Linked DNA regions of Coturnix japonica. The protein of the gene in region 4 interacts with the protein of the main gene of each other region in a biochemical or structural test. Links are inferred from orthologs where the notes say so. Each region holds a gene or a part of one and is shown on either strand. Other genes may lie near its edges.

Region 1 (4,261 bases), on a different chromosome or scaffold from region 4:
AGGACAAAATCACTGCAAGAAATCGCCTGCTGTTTCGCAATAGGAATAAATGGCGTACTCTAATCTGAAGAAAAATAACCCAAAAAACCACTCCCATCTCTCCCTAACCTGCCCTGCTATTTGTCTGCTTAAAACAGAAAGGGTTTTTTTCAGTTTCTCCCTGGCAGAGATCGCCATTTCACAGCACATTTAGCCCACACGGAACTGATCAATAACACTACAGACACAAGACTAGACTATCCATTTACTAACCACAAGAAAATGTGCCGTTCAGCAAAATCCCTCGCATCCTAAGGCTGAAGTTTTCAAAGGCATCATCGCTCTGCAGATCTCATTACCGCCCTGGAGCAGTCCCGCACAAAGCCAGCCGGCCTTCAGGATGAGCAACAAGTGTGTCCCTGCACTGCACAGAACAGAGCCCAAAAGTGCATCGACACACACACAGAGGGCTGCACACACATTCAGCACGTGAGCAGGAAGGGTCAGGCTCAGCACACGAGCAACACATCGAGTGTTACACAGCTCTGCAGGTTTCAGGTGCAGCTGGTGGCAGCAGCTCTCCAGCCACCGGTTGCTCCATCACCATTTCCCTCCCAGCCCAAAGGATGGAGCCTCTCACACCGCTCGTCTCTGAGGTCTGAGAGCCACAGCACGACCGCCGGGTTTCAGGCGCTAAGAAAGTGAAAAACCGAACGGCAAAACACGAAACCCAACAGCTGAACACAAATCACTGTTCGGAAATGGAAAGTCTGGCTTTTCGGGCTGTTTCGGTGCACGCACCGATACGTGCTCAGCCCTCGCTATCGGTGCGGGATGAGCTCATGCTTTCACAACAGCAATTATTCCGAACTAATGAAGCATTAATGAAGGTTGCCATCCACCGCTGGACGCTTCCAGAGCCCTAAATTAAGTTCGGAATATTTCACAGCTTGGTAAATAATCCACTGGAGCAAACACGAGGCCGGGAACTGCCCACAAGTGAACGAGGTGGGCACAGCCCCGGGTGGGACCCACACGAGCACTATGAGCACTGCACGTACCTGAAAGAGTTGTGCACCGGGGAATGACAGTGAGAACAGGAATCTTTCACTGCCATCCCCAAACGTTTGGCATTTCATAGACTCACTGAACGGCCTGGATAGAAAAGGACCACAAACTGACCCAGCTCCAACCCCCTGCTGTGTGCAGGGTCACCAACCAGCAGCCCAGGCTGCCCAGAGCCACATCCAGCCTGGCCTTGAATGCCTGCAGGGATGGGGCATCCACAGCCTCCTTGGGGAAACTATTCCAGTGCATCACCACCCTCTGGGGGAAAAACTTCCTCCTGGTATCCAACCTAAACCTCATCTCAAGAAATGACCTCTCGTCCCACCGATACAATCACCTCGTGCTTCCAACAGCTGAGCCCAAAGCAACAAAAGCACGCACTCACCTGAAGAACACGAGATGAGAAAAACAGCGAACGCTAACTTCGTAGCAGCTCCCATTTTCCAATGGCGTTAGAACATTTAAGTGACTTTTAGCATCCAGTTTCTCGGTCCTGCAAGCCGGACAATCCCCTCTTCTTGCGGAACCGTTATAAAGCGATCTAGAGCAAACTTCTCCGTTGATAGTGTTCACCAAACAGTAAAATCGGGGTCGTTTGGAGACCGACGGTCGCTTCAAAGCGAGAATCCGGGTTCGGGGGGGCTCGAACTATTGTGAGCGGCGTTTCAAAACACACGTGTCATTTGGCTTCTGGACCAAGAGCGGCGGGATTTAATTCACAAAAGTACGCTACGAATCCACGGCAAATAAAGGAAGATTGATTGAAGTCAACGGCGGAGCCGCCGGGTGCGATCCGAGGCGGTGTGTATCGGCGCTCACTCCGTCATGAAGCTCCGTGTTTCCCCGCTCTATGTCCCGGTTCCCGTTATGCAGCGCGGGGCTCCGGGCAGCGCGGTGGCTCCATGGCGGCTCCGGGCAGCGCTCCGACAGTCCGAGCGGCAGCGGGGCTGAGCGCTCCGCTACGGGAAACACGATTTACGATTCCCCCCCTCTACGACGATTCCTCCCCCTACGATGCTTCCATGCCCCCCCCACCCACCCAGCTCCCCCGAGACTCGGCTTGGTATTTAAACGCAAAATGAAGGGAAAAAAATAATAATAAAGAAAATAAAGAGCAAAGCAACGGCAAGGCCAGGCACGGCTCCCGGTGGCTGCGCTCCGCGGGGCCGCTCAGGGCTGCACGGCCGCCCGCAGGGCCCTTCCCTCGGCAGCCCCCGGGGACATCGCCCCGCAACGAGTCTGCTGCTTTTGAGGGAAAAACAAACAAATAAACGCAAAAGAGAAGCAGGACCGACAGGAGAAGGGCCCACAGGAGAAGGGCTGACAAGGAGAAGCCCTCGTGCCGCCCTGAGCTCCCAGCCCTCAGCCCTGAGCTCGCAGCCCTCAGTCCTTATCTCCCGGTCCTTAGCTCTCCTCCCGCCTCACTCCCGTCCCGCTCGGATCTCGGCTGGTCTCTCCCGTCTCCCTTTTGCCGTTGTCAGAGCGGCGGACACCAACTTTGTCCCTCCAGCAGTGCGGTTTGAGGGTTGCCGAGGAGAAAAGGCCGAGCCCGGTTTCGATCTGCGGGCGGTGCTGGTGGTTGGAGCCGTCTCTAAAGTCTCCCAAGTCCAACCTGCAGCTCGGAACGACCCTCCGTACCCTGCTGCTGCCGCTGCTCCCCTGTGGTAATTTCATATCTACCCATTCACTTGTGTGGCGTGGAGAACGGACCCAAGATGGCGGCGCCCGGCCGATTGTTTTTGTTTCCTCTCCTCCTCCCCCTCCCCCCCCTCCCCTCCACACTCACGGCAGCCCGGCAAGACACGCCGTGCGAGAGCGCGCCGCATCGGATTGACAGCCGCGCCGCCCAATCACAGCGCGAGGAGCGCCGCTCGGCCCCGCCCCCCTCCAGACCCACCCCGAGGGGGCGGGGCGCGCTCCCCCCTCCCCTCCCCTCCCACCTGCCCGCGTGTGCGCGCGCACGGCTGAGGAGGCGCGCGAGCGGGCTGCGTGCACGCGCCCCGCCTTCCCGCCTCAGGGCGTGGTGCTCGCGCCGCCCTCAGAGCTGCTCTGTGTAACGACTGCGGTGGGAAGCCCTCCTTTATTTAATGCCCCGTTGGTGGCTTTAATAGATGCCCATAGTTTGCATCAGGGATAAAGAAATGCTTGTTTAGGTGTTGAGGACTGATGTGGGGAAGCACAAAGGCCTCAGCGCTGGGATTTAACTTCTGTATTTCTGAAGCAAGAAGCACCAAGTTCTCAATAACTACATCACTAACTATAGATGTGCATTGGAGGGTTACGGTCCAAGTTCCCTTGGTGGGGAGCTGTCGTTACGTGGTGCTACATTGGGTGCTGTGTGCGAGGTAATTCACATGTGTGGGTTTGCAAGTCAATCACAGAATGACCCGGGTTGGAAGGGACCTCAAGGATCATGTAGTTCCAACCCCTCTGCCTGGCAGGGCCACCAAACGTAAGTCAAGGCTGGGTAATGGCCTCAAGTTGTGCTGGAGGAGGTTCAGAGTAGATACGAGGAGCCATTTGTTCTCCAGAGAGCAGCCAGGCACTGCACAGCTGCACCGGGTGGGGGTTACCATCCCATGGATGTGCCCTGGATGTGGGCATGGGGGGTGGGTCCACATGGGGATCTCAGAGCTCTTTGTTAACCTTAATGATTCTATGATCCTCACTTCAAACACCAACACAAAGTCATCCTCCAGTGACGTTTTTGATTGGAAAAATACCCCAAAATCAAACAAGCCGTATGGGATCGTGCGCATCATGAAGCACCGGGATGTGTGGCAACACTTTTTATGCCATTTTTTTTAATCCAGGCATTTCAGGATGATTTACAAGCATTAATTAATGCATTACAACACTCCTACTTAATCTGTAGCTTTTAATATTCTTCAATAGCAGAGTATTTAAACGTGACCTGTTCTGCAGGTTGCGTTTTCACTTTGCTCAGCTTCTTCGGGATGCTTGTCGTGTTGCCACATGAGCAGGAAATTACAGCTAAAAATATTGCCATTGTATGTGTTTATATATATAGATAGATAGATATAATAGCACAAATATGCCACCTGTGTAACATTTGCATGAATTTTGTAGGAAGGAAGGAGGTATCTCGAGATTTCTCAAGTTGCTCCTTGTTCTTAACCATGGGCAGGTCTTTGCCTGCAGTGTCAGTTGAGCAGAGTGGAGCCTCCTGGCCATCCACAAAAGCAGCGATCCT
Region 2 (3,512 bases), on a different chromosome or scaffold from region 4:
GGAAGGGCTGCTGCTCAATGGCATGTGGTCTGTGTTGTGTCTGCAGGGCTGTACCTGCAGCTTTGGGGTTTGTGGAGGTCCTGTATTGCTCCACAGTGCATTTCTACATACAAGATAAGCCTTCATGCAAGTAACAGAGGATAAAGTTGAAAAAAACTGCTGCTCTGTGAGAGTTCCATTGCATTTGGTTAGCAAAAATCAGCTCTTCCAGAGAGAGAAGCGTAGGGTGTTGTCAGTGACAGAAGTCGTTAAGGCTGTCCAGAAAATGGAGAGCTGTAGGTTGTGCTTAGCGGGGCCTCTTGTAGTAAGAGGCTCATTTCCTTTCCTCTGGAAGTGAGAGAGGGAAATGTGCCACAGTTCAGGACAGCGATCTTGCTGGGAGGAGGCGTGTGGGTGAGAGGTGGCACTTGGTGGCTGTGCCAACCAGCTGCTGCAGCCAGCAGCTGCCCCAGGAGCATTAGGGGCTCCGCAGTTACTCTGTTGGAGTAAAGGCAAGACCATGTTGACTTTGTGTTCTAATACTGTGCCGTACCTCAAATAGCCATCTGTATGTTGTTGGTTGGAATGCTTATGTGAGCATAGGAAACTGAAACAGAGCTGGACTTGCTCAGTGATAATCTGATATTGTAATGGCACTGGCAGCACCTTCAGGACTGTACTGTGTAGCTCTGAGGGTTTGCCTGTGAATGGTGTCAAACCGCTGCTTCCATTTCAAGTGATACAGACCCAAAAGAGCTTTTTTGTATTCTTAAATTCTCACAGACTTCATTTTGTGTTCTGAGAGGATGCAGAAGGAGGACATGACCAAAGTTCAGCCCTCTAGGTGATGTTCAGTATATGCAGTTAGTTAGAAGTTGCTTGGAAACAGAATGTGGCACACACAGCATGCATGGCTCGCTGTGAGCACACGTGGCAAACCTGTGGGCTGGTAGTGGCTGTGTTCTGGGACGTCCCTTGGACAGCCAGGTCTTTGAGCTCTTTCCCAGGTGAGTTAGGATTTGCTGAAGCCCAGTCCACAGATATGGAGATTTACAGACTTTTGCTGAGTGTCTGTGGGATTTTGATCTTAGTCTTCAACAGAACAAGAGCACTAAATCCCAACAAGCACTGTAGCAAATGTTGGAGAACTGTTTTTTCTGCTCAAGTATAACTTGAAGTAAAAAGTATCCTGAATTTTGTGTGTATCTGATTATAGACCAGCTGCCAGGCTGCTAAAAAGCAGTTCTAGCTTTGTTCTGTCTGTGCTTCTGCTGTACACAGAGGACTTCATTTGCTCACTGTTTCTCCGAACTAACTTGAAACACCAGTTTTTAAACTGGCTTCTGAAGAAAGCTGAGCTCCCTGGGTCATTGATGAGCTTAATCCACAACAGCGGCAGTGCTGCACGCATGCCAGAGTGAGGAGGCAAAAGACTTTCAGCAGGCTGCTCTTATGTAACCTGGGGACAAGTGGAGAGAACACGCATTAACTTCTTGTTTACTCACTTTTCAAAGCAGAATCTTGGAAACTGCATTCAGATACCATAGCAAAGCCTATACCTGAAGATGTGCGTTGCCACTTACCCTAAGCATTTTACTGTGTTAGTAGCAGAAATGATTTTATGCGAAGCACCGGCGTGAGGGTCAGTAGATGCTGACATCCATATGGGACTCTTTCATGATGCATGGAACAGCACAAAGCGTGTCAACCCTATTGGAAACAACAGTGCAGATGATGAAATTCTGTGCTGTTCTACTAGATATCTCAGTTCTCTGGTAGCCTGTAAACCTCCATGCCTTATGAAAGACGACTTTCCAACAAGTAGATTTACCTCTTATTTTGGCTCAGGCATCTCCAAAATGGATATAGCTTTTAATTTTGCTGCATGGTAGGAGAAACTCTTGCCGTGATAGTAAGTGCTATTCTGTTTTTCTAGTGACTGTTTAGCACGGCAGTGTGGAGTCTTACAGGTATTTTTGTGCTTCTCTGGTGGCTGGTTCACACATGCTGGCTTTGCAGAGGTGCTCTTTCACTGACAGCCATTTAATAATGCCTCTCTTGGTTGTATTTCACTAGGTATTGTAGAAGACTATAAACCACCGTTTTATGACCTGGTTCCCAATGATCCCAGTTTTGAAGACATGAGGAAAGTGGTCTGTGTAGATCAGCAAAGGCCAAACATTCCCAACAGGTGGTTCTCAGACCCTGTGAGTAGACGTTCCGGTGTATGGTTTGTAAAAGCTGACCCCTCTCCTGACCTGAAGCCATGCGAACTGCTCCTATAACCATCTGAAGCTGAGATCATCTCAGTGCTACTTGCCAGCATAGGTTTCAGACCCATCTATGTGTGCACCTTGATGTTACAGAAGGAAGAAAACTCGATGAGCAGACTGTTAAATCTGAGCTATTCTCACACTGGCCCTTCAGTAGTAAGAATTAATAATTGTTTTCACGCTACTCTTCCTTTGTTATTACTCACTTTCCAAGGGAGGGTGTACATGGGGGAAATGAAGCCTGTTAGGCCTTTCTGTGGCTCATAAGCACACAGACTTGGAGCAGTGCTCTGATTCCCCTGCCTCCATGATAAGGGACAGTTCTCTCTGAAAGGCGACTGCTGCTTGAAGTTTTCCTTCACCACAGTCAGTCTGGACCCCTCAGACTACTGTTCTAAAGTTGTGATGGTTCGACACCGCAGTCAGCCCATTGTTGAGTCACTTATTCTCTTTAATTATCAAACTCTACTTTTCAGCACTCAAAAACTGGTCTATTTGAAATGCCTAATAGATGATGCGTAAGGTGGTAAAGCCATTCTGTGTTAGGGCCCAACCTATTGCTGTTCTGGCTTGTGATTTGTGTACTTACATGTGTGTTTTGTTGTTATTCTTTTCCAGACGTTAACATCTCTTGCCAAGTTGATGAAAGAATGCTGGTATCAGAATCCATCAGCACGACTAACAGCCCTGCGAATCAAAAAGACTTTGACCAAAATCGATAATTCCTTAGATAAACTGAAAGCTGACTGTTGACCTTCTTCTTGTGGTGCTTTCCTGACAGGAAGGCACGTGTCTGGCTCAGAGGCAGCCCAGCCAGGCAGTTCGTGTAGTCGGTCCCCATGTGGCTTCTTACAGAGGCAGCAGCTCCTACCAAGCCATCCATCTGGGAGACACCGGAACCATATGGACTTTGCTCAGTGACTGCAGTGGGCATTTCACAAACGGTCAAGCTATAAAGACTCATGCTGGATGTACTGTTGCAAAGGTAGTGGCCTGAAGGAAGACAGAGAAATCCTAAGACAAGATCAGGGCATTAAATAATGGCTTTGAACAGCTTCCCCCCCCCTCCCCAACCCCCCCCTTTTTGGTTGTTTTATCTTTAAATTCTCCTAATCACTCCCAGGGTGAACACGCGGAAGTGGTAATTTTAATCAGCAATATTGCCTGTGCTTCTCTTCTTTATTGCACTAGGAATTCTTTGCATTCCTTACTTGCACTGTCACTGTTAATTTTAATGACATGACTTGCCAAAAATACGAT
Region 3 (4,260 bases), on a different chromosome or scaffold from region 4:
TGATTTTAAAAACAGGTAGTTTAAAAGGGGAAGAAAAGTGGATTTAATACAGGTTGTAGTGATATTGCTAAGGTTGGTAATGCTCATTGAGAGATAGCCCCACAGTCTGTTTAGAAAACAGAAAGAATCTTTGTACTTGCAGCAAGTAGATAACGATGATATACTGAACTCCTTGTATCAAGTAGATAAGGAAGTTCTGCTTTGAATCAGCTCATTTTGTGTAAGCAAGGATTGTGTAATCAAGGCAAGGAGCTAACTGAGCATGCATGAATACTGGGTTTGACCAGTGAACGCGGTAAAATTCTGACTAAGGATCTTGCGACCACCACCATAAAAAGATGGAGCATGTGCAAGGAGGCAGAACCCTATGTTAATGATTTTGAGGAAAGTATTGAACATGTATGTACTGACCAGGAAAGCTTTTGAATATCTAAGACAAGTAATATATATATATAAGGTGTAGGTAGAGAATATCCCCCATGCATCCAGCGTTGATAAGAAAGAATGCCAGCATTCTAAGCTTTATGGTATCAAATTCAGTTTCAGATGGGGTACTTTTGTCTTTTCAATCAACATTATGTGCTTACCCTGCTTCATGTCTATATTGCAATCATATTTTTCCCCGATAAAACATGTAGATACTAATGATTGCAAATGCATTAAATCAGTTTTGATCTATCATAGCTTTCTGACATTTGCAAACTAAACCCACTGATGAAAACTGATGTAGAGTAAAATTATGTTTCTGCAGTCAAATTGCATATTATTTATGCCGAGCTTACGTGTGTTACAAAAGAGTTACTCATTGACTTTTTCATTAGAATCCAGTCTTTTTGCCTAACAGAGGATGCATCATGAAACCTAGCAGCTCCTCATATTGTTGCACTTTTCTATAATCTTAAAAGCTTTCTGATGGCTTCTATTCATTTTCTCAATAGATTTTAATTACTACTGATCCTGAGCAATTTGTTTAATAAGGCCCCAACTGTCTGTGTAATTATTCCAATCTGTGCCTCTTTCTCAGCTTTTGCCTGCAAGGCTGATAAATGGGGCGAGGGGAAAAGGGCAGCCTCCTGCGCCGGGCTGCAGAGCACTGTTCCCGCTTTGTCTCTGGCATTCCCAATGGGGAACTCCCTTTGAAAGAGCTGCTGTGATGGAGGGTGCGGGAGAGCTATGGAAATATTATTCAGCTTAATTTAAGAAATCTGCATAAATATCAGTCATGGCAAACAGCTTCCTTATCTTACAAAATATTGCATTTTTATGGCTACTGTATTGTTTCCCAGCATTTTGCGGCCATAATATCAGCTTACTCATGAGATCCCTGATTATATAAGGAGCAGAGTGAAGTTTCTCTGTGCTTGTAGAGTTTAAGAGGAATGATAAATTTGGTCTGGATTATAGGTGTATTTTTTGCAGTTTAGAGTGAATGCTAATGATGAATCTTCTTCATGTTTTTATAGGTACTGACCTTTTTGGCTGCTGTTTTGGTTATGCACAATTATGAGATCAGGTACAGGGATTTCAAATCTTGGTTATACTTGTGTGCAGAAGCACAGTAGAAGTTGTACTGTGTGTCTTTTCTGTATTTGTTTCCCAGTATGTTCTAGACTTTTCTGTCCTTTGGAGAATAAATTGTATAATGTTTTTTCTTCATTTTAACTCAGCCCATTCTGATAGCATATGGTCAAATTCCAGCTGAAACGTTTTTTTTTGTTCAGTGTCACCTTTAGATCAGAAAATGAAATGTGAAATAGATTAAGGAAAAGAACAAAAAGCACTCACAAATGAGAAGGCATGCTTTTTAATAGCTGGAAGGATACACGCAGTGTCATGGTTAAAAAGCAAGATTGCAGACTACCTTGTCTATAGTGAATATACCTCCATTTGTATGTTTAACATTAGTTCAGCACAGGCAAATTCTTCTTCTTGGGAAGTTCAAAAAACAAAATGAAGTGTTTTATGCTTATCCAAGACCTTTGCTTTTTCTGTTCAGGAACAGTTTGCTGTTGTTTTTTCTTTCATTCTATCCATATATGTCCATGAAGTTTGCATTTTCTGCATTAAAGTGCTTGTGACTGTGGATGATGTCATCCTTTCCTCCATGGACTTCCCATGAGAAGGCACAAATCAAGCGCTTTTTGGAAGCACAGGACTGAGCTAGGTTTTCTGGAAAATGATCACCTTTGAGATAAAAGCTGAAGGTATTACTTTAGAGCCTATAAGTAATCTTATTGTGAGTCTAAAGCCTTTGCTCCAGGGGAGAAGTTTACTTTAGCCTAGACTTTAGAGTAGGATTTACATTAGTATTGAAGTATATATTATGCCAGTTTTTAGTTCTGAAATAGCTGTGCTTGTTTGTGATCTGTATTCCTTTGAGTTCAGAGGTTTATGCCCCTTATTGGGGAACAACCTGCTGTACTGCCAAGTAGCTGCTAGATAAGAAATCCTGCAAAGACTTGTGTTACCAATGGATAGACTTACCCCCTCTCAGAGTGATCCTGCATGACTGGAAGGGAAATAGTGAAGCAGAACAGTGATATTGCACATCTGTGTTCTGAAATACTAATATGGAGTGGTCAGAAACCAAGTAGCTTAGAAAACCAAACCTTTTCAACCTGTAGCTTTGCATTAATGCCAGACTAGGATCTATAAACACAATCTGAGTATTTCAGAAAGGATATGACCTTATGCGCATAACCTGATGCAAGTGAAAGATCTGGATCTCCAATATTCAGTCCCTTCTGAAGGAGCTCAGCAATGAAAAGGAAAGTCTTCAACATCATAGAATCATGGAATCACAGAATGGTTTGGGTTGGAACATATTCTTAAGATCATCTAGTTCCAAGACCCCTGCTATAGTCAGGGACACCTCCCGCTAGATCAGGTTGCTCAAAGCCCCATCCAGCCTGTCCTCGAACACCTGCAGGACAGGGGCATCTACAAGCTCTGGGCAACCTGTTCTAGTGTCTCATCACTCTCAAGTAAAGAATTTCTTCCTAACATCTTGTCCAAGTCTACCCTCTTCCAATTTAAAGACATTTCCCCTCATCCTGTCACTACATGCCCTTATAAAAGTCCCTTCCCATCTTTCCTGTAAAAAATCTGTTTAATGATTCTGAGGGGGTAAAGTCAGTAAGTGTTTTGAATTTTAATTCATTGGGAAATGCATATCAGAGGTGCATGAGAACTCCAGGATACCATGGCTGAAGTTATTTGGGAGAAGTATTCACCATCAGCAGGTTGTCTCTGTAAAGAAAACACAAAATATCACAGTTCATTTCAGTGGTTAATTTTCTGTACAGGAATGTTCACAGAACTAGTATGAACAGGTTTTCTTTGAAGTTATCTCTGAATAAGGAGAACTGTAACATATGCCATGAACTAATGATGTCATTATAAGCTAGCTGCATATTTTCTTTTTTTAAAAAGTAGAAGTCTAAGCATATGATTAGCAGCAAAAACATTCTTTAATGACAAACAACAATAATTTTTCCCTTAAAACATCAGATTATAACAACTGGAGGGCAACAAATCTTCTAAAGGAAAAAGGATAGCTACTTGAATCAGACCATTATCAGCAAATCAGTTCTGTTTATGACCTTGCAAAATTTCTAGCTGTTCCAATATTGCAAAGGAAATGATAAATATTTGGCCACTGTTTGGAATAGGAATGAAATCAAGCCATTCTGCAACTCTTGAATTGGTGTTGATCTGTGTAAAACTACTTCAGATAAGATAAGCAGTGACATAGTAAAGATTTCATAGGAGCTGTCTAAATGAATAATTTCTCCGTTGCATTCTAGCGTTCTAATGGAGTGGTTAATTATAGAGATTTGTGAAAGAAGAGAAAGCTCTGGTCCTCCCATTTATCCTTTTCTCTGTGTTCTTGTGTCTCTGTTCAGTCTGTGAAATCGTTTTTTCTTACAATGCAAACATGTAGAACATCGTTTCTCCTCTATCTTCTTCATCATACTCGTGTAGCTGTTGTTCCATCTTCATTTTCACTTGCTTACAGACTCAAGGCATAATTCTCCAGGCTTGTCTTCAGTCCCACAGCTGTCTGAAACTGTTTTTTTTGCTGAGGACTTCATTAAAACTTGTATGACTTAATCTCAAAAACCCTGCATAAAACTAATCTTGATCTCCACACTACTTGTGAGGCTGTTGATCTCGCTCTGAGATTTATGATCTCTGCGGTAAAAGTTTCAGCTGACTGCCACTGTATTGTATGATTTCCTGTGCTTATTGTAACAAGGA
Region 4 (3,779 bases):
ATTTAGACCATTATTTTTTTCAGCTGCCTCCATAGCAATGCAATGTGGTATCCACAGTAGGAAACCTCCTGCCAGCAGCATCTCCGAAATATGCTAAAACAATCTAAATTAGAAAATGTCAGCTTCTTGGCTGATGTTCCCTTGGAGTTTCTTTTTTCCTTCCTTGTGCCTCTATAATTTTATTGGGATGACTAAATCTCTGAACTATGTTAGCAGTAAACAGAACTAATTTACCCCCCACTTCTTTGAAACAGCTGCTGACAGCTGCACTATAATTCAATCATAGATCTTTGCAATGCGCTCTGCAAAACATATTCATTTTTTTGTTGTTGTTGTTCATATTCTTTCCTCTGTTGTGTTTGGACAGAAGGAGCTGCACCAAGCAGTGATGTGCTGGTTTTGCCAATTCACAGAGTTTGAGCTATGTGGAAACAGATGCTCAAGGTGAAATATTGCCCGGCCTAAAAGGTTCTATGAACACAGGGAGAAAAACCACACAGATACACGATGTTGTTGGGATATCTTTTGTAAAGTCGCAATGATTTATTTTACTAGTTTGTACAAAAGGCTTCTGACAACTGCTCTATGAGAAGAACCAGAAATGTGTATGCATTTTTTGCCAACTGTTAATAAATATCTTCTTAAATAAGGAAACAAATGTGCTTAGGAACTGAGAATCATTTTTCCTGGATGTGATTGAAAAGGAATTCAGAGATGGAAATAAATAATTCTTCTGCTTTGTGACAACTATTTACATAAAAATGTACAAACAGTGAAGCTGATGTTAAGCCTAGCAACAGAAATCCTATTATGTGGAAAAGAACAAACAAACAAACAACCCCCACATAATATTTAATATATGAATCCTATACAGCAAGATACTGCAGTCCAAGTTAAAAAAAAAATGCAATACACCAATGCTGTGACCACCAGCACAGAAACAGTTGCAAGAAAAACTAATCCTTGTCTACTAAATAGTGGAAATTTAGGTCTGATTAGCTCATAACTTCTAGGTGTAGCACCTTACCTTTAGGAGGCTTACAGAAACACTGGTGTACATACATATACAATGTCCAAAGATGTTTCTGAGCTGTAGGATTTCAATACCTCCCTCTAAGAGATGCCCGAGGGCAGTTTTGACTTGACTGCTATAGATGGTCTTCTCTGCAGGCTCCAGGGAGACATGTTTGGCTTCAGTAGTTGTCGTGGCTGTGGGTGACACCTTGGTCAGTCTCTCCTTGCTGCAGGTTGGAGGTTCTCTGCAGCGTTGTGCTGTGGGTGGGCCGTTCCTGCACACATTTGAGTTGTCTGGTTTGGAAGTGGGGCGCATCTGGAGATCCAAAGCCTACCAATATCGTGGGGAGACTTCCACGTTCCCATAAGCCTAATCCTGCTGCTGAGAGAACTGTTAGGAAAACACCAGTTGACTTAAATGCTATTAGACCATCAGAAACAAGTTTCCAATTTATTTCATAGAGTAATCTTTTTCTTCCTTTACTTGTTTGTTTGCTTTTTAAATAAGCCATCTGGTCTGGATTTGGTCTGTGGCTAAAGGAAGAGGAGCAGTGTCTGATTTCCAAATTCTCGTGGTTGCATTCTGTTATCTTCTTTCTCTCCGTCCTCTAAGGATGGACCTGGGGCTGAGTTCCCCCTGCAGCTGTATCACATCCCCTCAGTGTGCTGAGAACCACGTCAAGGCACTTAATGATGTTCTGGACCCATCTATTAGAGGTCCAGACTTCAGAAGTTTGAGGATTTAGAGCTGCGTTTGCTGAGGACCTGGCGTTTATTTGGACAGAACCTTTTTCTCTCCAGTAAAATTCATGCCAGTCCTGCTTCTGTAGTTGTAATGTATGCCCAAGTTTTGAGTTAGCTTGTGATTGGTTTCTGCTATTCTGTATTCTTATCACAATGACTTCAAGTTTAAATTGCATAAATGTGATGCTTGTGTAACCTGTGCTTTTAAAAGAAGGCAAAGGGGTGGTTTCTTGTTCCTGGTTCCAGCTTGTTGATGTGGCTCCTGAAAGTTGTTGTGGGTTTTTTTTGTTTGCGTTTTGCTTGTTGTTGTTTTCAGAGATGAGACCAGTAGTAGAGCAGTGTCTTCTATTGCAATCACTGACCCTGGGATGTAAGGTCCCCTGCAATGTCCCTATAGCTGTGCTGGGGTGGTGTTGGCAGTTTGTCTGTGCTCACAGCACCTTCTGACTTCACGTCTTTCAAAAGAGGAGTTTGTTCTGTCACTGAAGTCAATGGATGTTTTCCAAACAGGAGCAGGATCTTCAGCTGTCTTTCACAACTCTGTAGCTGATCGAGGTACCCCAGCTAAGCGTTAGGTTTAATCCCAGATTGTTTCTTAATGTTGTGCTGCTTTCCTGTTTCAAACTCATAGCACGTAAATTCTTTCTGGTTGCTACAGGAAGTTTCTTTTCTCTTGAGGAAAAAGAAGTATACCTCCAAAGTCTTGTTCTTTGGAGTTACTTCCTTCAGTTCTTTTACTTGCCCATTACAGTGTTCTTTTCCTCAGTCTGGTTTGTCCTTTTGAACTCCATTCAATCCAGATATCGCTTCTGCTCCTGCCATTTAAAACTGGAACTTGCATCCAATTAAAATTGCTCCTGCTTATGAAATAGTTGCAAACAGAGGGATGGAAGTAATAATTCTCTAACAAAATACCTGTTCACTCCAGGTATATTTTGTTCACTTACTTTATTGCAAACTGTGTTACAGGAACTACACATGTTCAATAGTCACAGCGCATTCTCGCTTTGGATAATTATTCATTTTTAATTCACAATCAACATTGGTGAATTTGCAGTCTTCTGAAAGACTCGTTTGCAGAAGTATGTGTTGTAGGAGCCAATTTTGCAGGCAGATTTGGTTTTAAATGGTTTCTCTGGCTTGTTTCAGTTTACAAGCTCATTGTCTGTAATAAACTAAAACAAAATGTGTTCAAATGCCACTTAGATCCAGAAACTGTTCCATTGTCTGAACTTTCAGAAGCCCAGTCTTAAAAACTGGGATTTTTGAGCCCATTGCTGCAGTGCTAACCTTTTCCCCTCCCCCACACATCCATACAAAACTCTCTCTTTATGAATAACCTTTCTCTTCCCTACAAATCTAATGACAGCCACATGCTCGTACCACCATATTCCTGTACTTTTTTAAGATAACGTTGGAGCTGTCATCAAAATAGAGCACTGAGATGGCATTGAGTTGGGTGGGAGCGCAGCAGGGTTTCGGCACAGTCTCTGGGTTTATAAAGTGAACCTGAGGAATTAAAGCAGAGGCATGTTAAGATTTCCATTTCCCTTCTCCTCCCTCATGTTTTCCTTTCCCAGGCAGCCCTCTCTCCCCCATAAGCACACACAGACATGTTTTGAACACCTGGCTTTGTGTACAAATGTCTCGAGATGTCCCCTTGCATGGATGGAGGCTGACGCACGCACCCAAGTCAGATCTAGTTGGAAATCTTTCAGTGAAGCAGGTTTTCATTAGAAGATTCCCATTTGTCAGAGCAGCCAGCGTTCTGCAGCAATGTACCAGTTCCAATAAACTCTGCAGGGTGTGCGTGTGAGGTTTTGGGAGCAGTCCCATGGGTGCTGTGTGGGGGGCCCTGTGCTGGCTGGCACCAAGGGCTGTGGGTCCCTGACTGCTGCTGCAGGGCCTCCAAGAGAGGGAGGAGAGTAAACAGTCCTTCAGGAGGAGAACATGCAAAGCTTCTTGTCTTGGATATGAGGATGCTTCTGGCTTCCCTAGTGCTTTTTGCGGTGCTGTTCTTA
Region 5 (4,019 bases), on a different chromosome or scaffold from region 4:
CAGACAAAAATGGAGCTGGACTGTGTAGAGGTCAGCACAACGAGCAAAGCAGGGTTTCCCACATCATACACACATGTGGCTAAGTGAGATTCCTTCCCAATTGGTTACTATCCAAAAACAGCTTATCTGGGCAGGCAAATGGCCTAAAGGGTGTCTTGGTCAATAGCAGAGGGAAAGCGAGCAGGTTAGTGTGGTCTTTGTTTCCCCCTATAGTTGGCCCCGTGTACAAAATTCTTGGCACAGAACTGTGTAATGGGACCATGTCAACATGAGAGTCTGTTGAGTGCAAGGTTCAGCCCATGCAAGCTGCTCATCCCATGGCACAGTGTTATGAAGCTCCTTCTGCACCACTGTTGGGAGACAGACAGACAAATTGGTACTTGGGTAATGTGTCCTAATGACGACGAGCTCAGAAATGCAATGCAAATCATAGCCTTCAGCAGCCTTATCAGCAAGCAGAGAAGCTCAGTGCAGAAGGTATGATGTATTCCAATCTAACCAGCCAGCTTCGTTTATTTAAAGAAACAGGAAATGGAAAAAAGCAAAACGAACAACTCCGTTCACCATAATGCCACTCTTATCTCTCCTACGGCACTGGGATGCCAAGCTTTCCAAGGATCAGCGTGAGCAGTGATCCACGGGCAGCTCCCATCGTTACCCTATGCCCCCCAAACAAAGGAGCTGCGATATCCCCACCTCCGCAGCGCACCCGGCCGCGCTGCCCCTCGCACCTCTCTGTCTCCTCCTACAGGAGCTGCCGCGCCTTTGCACCGGCAAAGCTCTGCTCGACGGCCCTTCGGCCGGCGGTGCACGGAGCCCCATGCGGCATCTCCACCCAGGAGAAGAGCTCCTGGGGAGGAAGAGCGGCCGGCTTTTTCTCGGTGTGCCCCGGCAGCCCTCCCGCCCAGCGCACGTGTCAATAGAAGCGGCAGCGCTCCTAGGAGCGGTCTCACGCCTCTCCCCGGCAGCCGATGGAGCTGCTGCTGCTTCGCGCTCGTCCCCATTCTCCCCCTCCTTCCTCCGTGCGCGCGGCCGGGCTCCACGGGTGCCGTGATTGGAATCCGGCTCCGTCCCGCCCCGCCCGCCCTCCAGCTCCGCAGGGACGCGCCGGGCGTCGGGAGCGCTGCCGGGGAGCGAGCCTGCGCCGCCCCGCCCCGCCCCGCCCCGCCCCGCCCTCCCCCTCCCGGCTCTCGGCCGCCTTCGCTCCCGTCTTACAGGAGCCGTCGGGGTTCCGGGCGCGGCCTGCGTAACGCAGCGGGAGCGGCTCCGTGTTGCTTCGCCTTCCGTCCCGCCGCAGAGGATGAGGAGCCTCCAGGAGCGGTGAGTGCGGGGTCGTGCCGGGCGGTGTGGAGCGCCGCGCCCCGCTCCTGCGTTCCACCCCTTCTCGGCCCGCGGGGCTCCGAGCACCGGGCCCTCGTCCCGCCCCCGGCCCGCTCTCCCCGTCGGCTGCGGGCTCGGCCCTTCTGCTCCGAGCTCTCCGGCCCGGCCGCTCTCCCCGCCGAGCGCCCTCCGCGGGTCGGGCCGATGCTCGGAGACCGTCGGCGGGCGAAGCGCGGCGGCTCCCGGGGCCGGCGGCTTCCTGCGTGGGCACGGGGCCGCCTGCGGGGCCGGGCAGGCCCGGCGCACGCCGCTCTGTCTGGCCGCCTTCGCCCTCCCCCTGCGTCTGCGCCCGCGGTGTTGTAATTCCAGGCGCGGTGCCGAGCCGGCGGCTGAGCGGGGCCTGCGAGCGGCTCCGGGAGGCCGCGGGGAGCGGGGGGACGGCACTAATGCCGAGCCGTGACCCGCCGCTGCTGGGCGGTGAGGAGCCGCCTGGGCATCCCGCGGCACCGTGAGCGTCCGCCGTCCGGTTCCGGTTAAACCTGGTGACGAGATGTCCCGAAGAGGCTGAAAAACTTGAATGGCCTTTCATCAGCCTTTCATCTTCTGTACGACTAAGAGTGAATTCGGCATCAAGGAGCGGTGGGAGGCTGTAGCGCGGTCGTGTGGCCTGTTGTGATGAAGGCCGTACAATGGGGACGCTTCCAGGTGCGGAGTGGTTGTGTTTGTGAGCTGTGTTTTGTTGTGTTTTGCGTTCCTTGAGGACGGGTAACGATTTGCTGGGTTCCATACCCTGTCAGCTGCTTGGTGCCTGCCCTCTGTGCGAGTGGAGCAGCTCCTTCTATGATGGCCTGGGCTCAAACTGTTCCTTGGTTCTCAGTAGAACCTTATGTTGGAGTAAGGAGCTGCATGAGACCGGTTGATATTCAGACCTGCTCTTCCAGCCTATAGTTAGTAAGACCCCCACGTTGTGGCATTGGTAGCAGCCTGAAAATATTACTTGAATACTTGTTGACAGTGTGTATCCTTTGTGTCTTTACTTTGGTTACTTTCGTATAGATCTTTCAACACTTGCGGTTTGTTGTGTTAGGGTCTGTGTGGTTTGTATTTCTGTATGGACACATGCATGCCCTGCAGGCTCTGAGTGTGGAGCTCTGTCAGAGATATTAATGCATAGTTGCAATCTTCAGTTGCCAGTTCTCTGTATATGCCTTTGGTCTCTCTGTTTGGAGACAGTGAATTCATGTGGGCTGACTGGAATCCTTCTCTTTAAAATGAGAAAGATATGGTTTGGAAGGGACCTCTGGATGTCACTGGGTCCAGCCCCTGCCCAAAGCAAGGGGGTTCAGCTAACTTCCTTTAGAAAGGACATGTGCTTCCCATAGATGAAAGTTACTGTGATCTGAGTTGTCACAAAGCATTGGGCTGCAAAGAAAAAAGCACGCTGAAGAAACAATAAATAGCTTTGTCTACTTCCTGGAGTCCTGAAAAGCAAGCAGTAGGTGGGTGGCTTAGGGTTGTATTTATTTTCTGCCTTGGTTTAAAGGTAGGAATGACAACAGGGTTGTATTTGTTCTCCAAGAAGCAAATGGGACATAATGTGACTACCAAATGATACTTGTGGATGGCAACTTCCGTAGTGAGGATGGTATCTCCTTGTAGTGCAGCTAAATGTCTGACACATGGAGCTTCTGAAGCTCTGCTAAGCATAGATGGGTAAACAGACAAGATGGCATGTTCTACAGATGCAAGTGTTCCTCCCTTGCTTTTGTCAGGCATCGGATCTTTCTGTCTGTGTGAGGTTTTTGGTTCCTCGTTTGAGGGGGGGGGGGGGGGGGGGGGGGGACAGAGAACGTCTTCAGTGCCTGGGTTTTGCTTCACATACCTTAATATTTTCTGTAAATAAATCACGTAAGTCACTTCAGAGCTGTTATATGTAGGTACTGATGGAGTGCTTAGACACGTTAATGTTCCTCAAATGTGTGTGGGGGTGGGGGGCAGTGTGTGTACTTGATTTTTGACGGCTGCCTTGCCTGTAGCAGCTGATGATTTAGTGCCTTTTCTTCCCTGAACGAGAGCTGCAAAAATCTTTTGCAGTTGCTCTACCAAACCCTCGCTGATTATTCCTAGTCATGGTGATGTCATGGAGTCTCTGTGCTTTCTGAAACATTCGGTGCTTTAAAGGGAAAGCAAGGAATTTCTGTCTCTCTTTCCTGTCGTCACTTAAAAGTCGCAGTGAAGTCTGTAGAGCAGTTGATTTTTCTCAGAAATAGTCATTTTATCTACCCCCCCCCCGAGTTATTCTTTTAACTCAGTATAGCTCTTGTGTGAGGGATTCGGTCCAAAAACACACCGAGTACTTTGTGCTCTAGGCGTATGTTTTGTGCTTCCCTCAACAAAACAAAGCAATTTTTCTCCTGCTCTTTAATATCAAGGATTTCATTTTCCTCTAGGGAGGGTGAATGTTAGGTTCCCTTTGTTTTCCTATGAGGCTGTGTCCTTGCTGAGAGAGTAAGCTGCAGCCTCTTGCTGGTCTGACCACTGTGTGAGATGGAGCACTCCAGAACTGCATGGGAATCGCAGCAGTGAGAGGACACTGAAGTTTACTGTAGTCAGTTGACAACTGGAGTATTTTGTATCAGTGTTTTTAGTGTAACATGAGGCTCGAGTTCTTCATTTGTGCTACATCAGAGATGAGATGC

Evidence for each region.
Region 1: the proteins of BMP7 (region 4) and ACVR2A are reported together in a solved structure, tested with the Homo sapiens proteins (2 studies listed by BioGRID, with this or other methods). The link is inferred for Coturnix japonica from reciprocal best matches to the Homo sapiens genes BMP7 and ACVR2A.
Region 2: the proteins of BMP7 (region 4) and ACVR1 form a complex in vitro, tested with the Homo sapiens proteins (2 studies listed by BioGRID). The link is inferred for Coturnix japonica from reciprocal best matches to the Homo sapiens genes BMP7 and ACVR1.
Region 3: the proteins of BMP7 (region 4) and BMPR1B form a complex in vitro, tested with the Homo sapiens proteins (2 studies listed by BioGRID). The link is inferred for Coturnix japonica from reciprocal best matches to the Homo sapiens genes BMP7 and BMPR1B.
Region 5: the proteins of BMP7 (region 4) and BMPR1A form a complex in vitro, tested with the Homo sapiens proteins (2 studies listed by BioGRID). The link is inferred for Coturnix japonica from reciprocal best matches to the Homo sapiens genes BMP7 and BMPR1A.

What each region holds. Positions count from the first base shown.
Region 1 is NC_029522.1:31,390,544-31,394,804, forward strand, and holds the start of ACVR2A (activin receptor type-2A), read right to left. Parts: upstream 2,805-4,261; 5' UTR 1,488-2,804; coding exon 1,433-1,487; intron 1-1,432. UniProt on the Homo sapiens protein: On ligand binding, forms a receptor complex consisting of two type II and two type I transmembrane serine/threonine kinases.
Region 2 is NC_029522.1:29,815,631-29,819,142, forward strand, and holds part of ACVR1 (activin receptor type-1), read left to right. Parts: intron 1-2,055; coding exon 2,056-2,186; intron 2,187-2,870; coding exon 2,871-3,005; 3' UTR 3,006-3,512. UniProt on the Homo sapiens protein: Bone morphogenetic protein (BMP) type I receptor that is involved in a wide variety of biological processes, including bone, heart, cartilage, nervous, and reproductive system development and regulation.
Region 3 is NC_029519.1:52,477,004-52,481,263, forward strand, and holds the start of BMPR1B (bone morphogenetic protein receptor type-1B), read left to right. Parts: upstream 1-1,450; 5' UTR 1,451-1,503; coding exon 1,504-1,513; intron 1,514-4,260. UniProt on the Homo sapiens protein: On ligand binding, forms a receptor complex consisting of two type II and two type I transmembrane serine/threonine kinases.
Region 4 is NC_029535.1:10,587,495-10,591,273, reverse strand, and holds the end of BMP7 (bone morphogenetic protein 7), read right to left. Parts: intron 3,268-3,779; coding exon 3,118-3,267; 3' UTR 511-3,117; downstream 1-510. UniProt on the Homo sapiens protein: Growth factor of the TGF-beta superfamily that plays important role in various biological processes, including embryogenesis, hematopoiesis, neurogenesis and skeletal morphogenesis.
Region 5 is NC_029521.1:1,763,889-1,767,907, forward strand, and holds the start of BMPR1A (bone morphogenetic protein receptor type-1A), read left to right. Parts: upstream 1-1,213; 5' UTR 1,214-1,320; intron 1,321-1,763; exon of another isoform or gene 1,764-2,025; intron 2,026-4,019. UniProt on the Homo sapiens protein: On ligand binding, forms a receptor complex consisting of two type II and two type I transmembrane serine/threonine kinases.